2 linked regions of the Kluyveromyces lactis genome follow. The protein of the gene in region 2 interacts with the protein of the main gene of each other region in a pairwise test. Links are inferred from orthologs where the notes say so. Each region holds a gene or a part of one and is shown on either strand. Other genes may lie near its edges.

What was found. The genes of interacting proteins can lie anywhere in the genome.
Region 1: the proteins of YIP4 (region 2) and TVP23 interact in a two-hybrid assay, tested with the Saccharomyces cerevisiae proteins (2 studies listed by BioGRID). The link is inferred for Kluyveromyces lactis from reciprocal best matches to the Saccharomyces cerevisiae genes YIP4 and TVP23.

What each region holds. Positions count from the first base shown.
Region 1 is NC_006039.1:1,019,886-1,022,216, reverse strand, and holds TVP23 (Tvp23p), read left to right. Parts: upstream 1-1,214; coding exon 1,215-1,802; downstream 1,803-2,331. Other genes in the region: AFR1 (Afr1p), read left to right, coding at 1-857; RRP8 (25S rRNA (adenine645-N1)-methyltransferase), read right to left, coding at 1,916-2,331. UniProt on the Saccharomyces cerevisiae protein: Golgi membrane protein involved in vesicular trafficking.
Region 2 is NC_006042.1:1,156,485-1,159,026, reverse strand, and holds YIP4 (Yip4p), read left to right. Parts: upstream 1-1,322; coding exon 1,323-1,961; downstream 1,962-2,542. Other genes in the region: KLLA0_F12452g (uncharacterized protein), read left to right, coding at 2,517-2,542. UniProt on the Saccharomyces cerevisiae protein: May be involved in proper membrane localization of Rab GTPases.

The DNA of each region.
Region 1 (2,331 bases), on a different chromosome or scaffold from region 2:
AGTTAGTTGTCTCAAAAATACCTATATCAGGAAACTCGAATGAGAAGAAAGAGGAGAAAGCTAAAAAGTCAGTGGAATCCTCTCCGGTTAAGAGATCGAGCTCCAGATTGAGTTCCTTCTTTAGAAAACTGTTTCCCTTAAAGAAAAAAGCCAGGAAGGAAGACATTCAAGAAAAGGTATCTGCTAAAACTCAATGGCAGAAAGCGGTTACATCAAAACCGACTACATCAAAGCATATTATTTTACCATCTGAATCAGCAGAACCTCCTTCACTTCTTGATCTAGAAACAGAAGACGATATAGAAGATGATGGTTTTAAAGATCTCATGGACATCGATTTAGTGTTTGATTCTTTATTGTTGAAGTCTGAACAACACCAACAAAATTCCGATATTGCGTTAATTAACCAATTTAATGAAAGCACAAGAATTAGTCCACCAACCGTTGAACCACCTTTGCGCTCTTCGAAGAGACCTTTACTGGTAAAGGATTATCAAGGAAGACTCATACATCACCATAATAACGGGCAAACCACACATAGCGATCGCATCATAGAACATTTGCATCAAAATTGGAAAGCTGTACACTTCAATGCAGTAGTTCCTTCAGTAGTACGTTCCAATGATTCATCTTCACCTGTATCTGCTAAAAAATGCAGATTTAATGAAGAAATATACGTTAATGACACTTTCTCACCAACGGAGTATTTAAGGTCTGATAAGGCTTTCCCTGAAAGTCGGAAGCAATTGTCAAAAAGCAGATACATCGACGGAATCAAAATGGAACTGAATGAATTCAAGAAGAGAGAAATGCTAGTTCATCCTAACAGCTCTCAGTACACTCATTTCTTTCTATGACTCAAAGAAAAAAATTACCGAATACTATCACACACAAGGTAATACTAATATACAATCAAACTCAATAATTTTATATAATCTTTAATTTAGTTAGTTAATTATAATTATAATGATATGCGTCACCATGAACTTTCAACAATTATTGGTGCTTAGCCCATCATTTCCCATGAAAGATCCAGCAAAATATACCTCTCTCATGAATCTGCAACTTTCAGAGTTTCCGGACCTTAAGAAAAATAAAGGTCTTGAACCAAAAATACACCAAAGAACCAACGAAAAGAGAGACGACTTAGAAAACTCATACAAACTAGGGTATACCGTCAAGGAAATCGATCAGCCTATTGAGATATAGTAGATATGGATTCAGCAAGAAACTTCTACAAGACAATTTTGGCATCTTCTCATCCTTTGATTCTAACGATCCACCTTCTGGGAAAAGCGGTGCCAATTGTATTTTATTTGTTAGGATCATGGTTCCTTAGTTCCACAGTACAGTTCATAATTGTTATTTTAACATTGGCAGCAGACTTCTACTTCACGAAGAATATCAATGGTAGAAAGTTAATTCAACAGCGATGGTGGTATGATGTTAGTGGAGAAGACACTACGACGTTTAGATTTGAATCATTCAAAGAATATCCAGATGTTGCGGCGGCCCCAATCAACCCAATCGATTCAAAACTATTTTGGCTGTCACTTTATGTAGCTCCTACTATTTGGGTGGTCTTTGGATTTTTATGTTTGATTAAGTTCCAGTTTGTGTATTTGATACTAGTAATCTTTGCAGGTGGTTTAAATTTATGGAATGCTTACGCTTACCGTTTATGTGATCAATGGGAACCTGGCCATACAGCCGAAGCACCATTGTTCCAACTTCCAATGCTTCCATCGTTTGCAAACCTCGACAGAGTGACCAGATTGCAATCATTTTTCACCAGGTCTTGATAAAACTACAAATTTATTAAAAAGTACATAGATTTAGGTACATCAATGGAATGACACTCGTACAAATGTGAATAATACATCTTCTAACCAAAGGAAAACGAAAAGGTAGTCTTTTATCTCCTTTTATAAATACATGGCTTAAGTAGCCATTTTCCTTCTGGAATCTGTTCTCTTTTCTTCTGTAGCTCTTCCTTTTCTGTCTCTACTTCGATAAACTTCTGTCTACGTTCCAATTTCGCTTTTCTTTCTTCAATAATGTCTTGAGGTGGTTTGAAGAACTCGAATCTTGTAAACATTTTGTTACTGTCATCAGTATTCTTGTGGAAGAAACCTTGTAGTTTCAAGGCATTTACAAATTCTTCACCCTTCCCGTCACCAAATCTTGATTTGATTTCAGCAATCCATAGTTCTCCACGAGGAGCTAAAATTCTGTACGCTTCGTTAATAAAATCTAGGAAATTTGTTCCCATCAACGCCAAACAGAACACTACGATCGTACATGATTCATCTGGCAAGGGAACATTTCTGA
Region 2 (2,542 bases):
GACCTGACTCGAGCTGGCGCCAATACTGATGATCTTCCCGGAAACAAATGGGAAGGAAAACACTGAAAATACCGTGTTTTCCCAATGAATAAAACACAAGTTGTAAGTAATGCCAAAAAGCGTTACCGAAAGTTTTCAATTCTCAATTTTCACTTTTGTTCTCCTTCATATGGGAAAAAAAGAAAAGAAGTCGCAGTGTCAGCTTGGTATCGCTTCGCATTGGACTGGAAAACCAACTGGGGCTAGGGATGGGGCTAGTGCCCAGTGTTGCCTTGCCAAGTGTCGTATATGTACTATTTAGTTATGGAATGGGTTGTGTTCTGTTTTTGTTTGTGAGCGGGAGGGTGCTAGGTATTTCAGAGATGTCGGGTTTCGATGGCAAAGATGCTACTACTACTGCTACTGCTGCTGCGCAGCAGCAGTAGCAGTGTCTATATTCTGCCTAGCATTTCGCACCGCAGCTCGCGCACGCAGCCTCTGACATTTACGTCCCTTGCCTTCTTTGCCTACTTCTCTTCTTCTCTTCTCTTCTCTTCTCTTCTTCTCTTTCCACTCGTTTACCATATTTATTATTAGAATCAAGATGTAAAGAGCTGGCAGGCTGCAGTTCGTTACATTCTCCATTAGGGATACATGAAAAAATACATATAGTAAATAAAACAAGGGCGTACAATAAGCTACCGCACCTTGCTATTTCGGGCAACACCAAGGCATAGAATCCGTTGGTTTGGATGTGTTCTCACTTCGTTGGTTCTGCCCTACCCGATAAGTTAGAGAAATGATGTATAGTGATGATATAGGGGAGACCAAAATGAGGGAAAGAGGGAAATCGTTATGAACGAAACCAGGGTAACAATGAGCGATGACCACGTCTCCCAAGGTTGTCGTTTTAGGATATTGAACCAGGAAATGCTAGAGGCTGGAATGGCGTAATGGAACCGTGCACTGTGGTCGAAGGGGATGTTTATTCTTGCAGTTTGGGAAACGTCTCGTGATAGGCTCTCACAACATAACGGGCAAACGCCTCTAAGAAATACCTTGCTTCTTATTAACCCCCAGTAGCTTAGTGGGCGGACCAGGCGGTCTGCGCGAATTGCCAGAAAACCGAAGTTGTGACAAATAAAAAAAAGTTACTTTCTCGGCAGTTCGAATCTCAAATGATGAATAACTATGCGTGAACAATCTCTGATTGATACAAATAACGCTTGTATCAAAGGATTAAAAAACATGTTGCCTTCCTTCTGAATTGACTTATAAGTAAAAACCTCTATTTTATTCTTTTTTTACAATTAATTACCATATCCCAGCGAGTAAGGCCAATTATGGACACCATTGAACCAGATTTTATTGAAACTGAGACTGGTAACGGTTACGGTTCCACTTTATCCACTTCTGCTAGAGGAACGTTAGATGAAAGTATCGTGTCCACTTTCAAAAGAGATTTCCATGAGATCAATGATAAATTAAAGAAAGTAGTCTACCCACATTTCCCATTGGGTTCACCAAGTGCTCAAGATCAACATGTTTTCCAAGGTACCGACCTCTGGGCCCCTCTATGTTTCATTATACTATACTCGTTGTTCTTATCCAAGGGTCGTGGACGGTTTTCCTCGTTTTTCATCACTTGTTGGCTGGTGATCAGTGCTATGGCCACACATTTGAAACTTTTGAATCCACATGAACCAATGTCTTGGATGTCATATTTGTCTCTTGCAGGTTATTGCATGTTCCCGCAAGTGATCAATTCGTTGGCATGTTCAATTATCTTACCTTTATTCAATAAGATCCCTAAAGTTACACTTATAAGACTAATAGTGATAGCAAGAATCGTCTCGTTTGCACTATGTTCGTCATGGTCAATAATATCAATGTGGAAAGTATCGAAATCCCAGACTTTGGTTCAAAAATACCCATTGGCTTTATGTTTAGTAACGCTAGGTTGGTTATCTGTGATTTGTTGAATCGGCCGCATTGCACGCACCCAAAAAAAACAAACTATCCACTTTATAAACCTGTTGTAAATAAATATATAAACATGCTTCGAAGTACAAGGACCTTTTCACCAATCAATTATCTCTTATCATTTTCTGTCTTAATTCTCCTCTGTATTTTCTATTAAAAGCTGCACCCTTGGCCTCTTTTACTGCAAAATGATGATGAAATTTAAAGGATTTGAAATAGGAATTACCAGAATCCCATTCTGATCAAAAGCATCGGTGAAAGGAAAAAGAGGGAGAACAAGCTGTATTATCCATCAACCACAGATTGTACCTTAAGATATCGATAGTCTAGTATCAGTGCTAATACGTTTCGGTACGAAAACTGCAGAGTTTATTTTGTTGAGTAATTGGGAGCCATCTTCCTTTTTTCTGTTGTTGGCCCTTCTTGATATTTTGGGTTCTGCTAGTCAGCCAGGAGCATACAAGATACGCATAGCAAATAGCTGCTTCAATAGCTGTCACATCGATTCAAGAACCATACAAACTTCACTTTCAAAAAATTTTTTCCAGTAGAATATGCCGTTTCTTCTTCCCTCAAATTG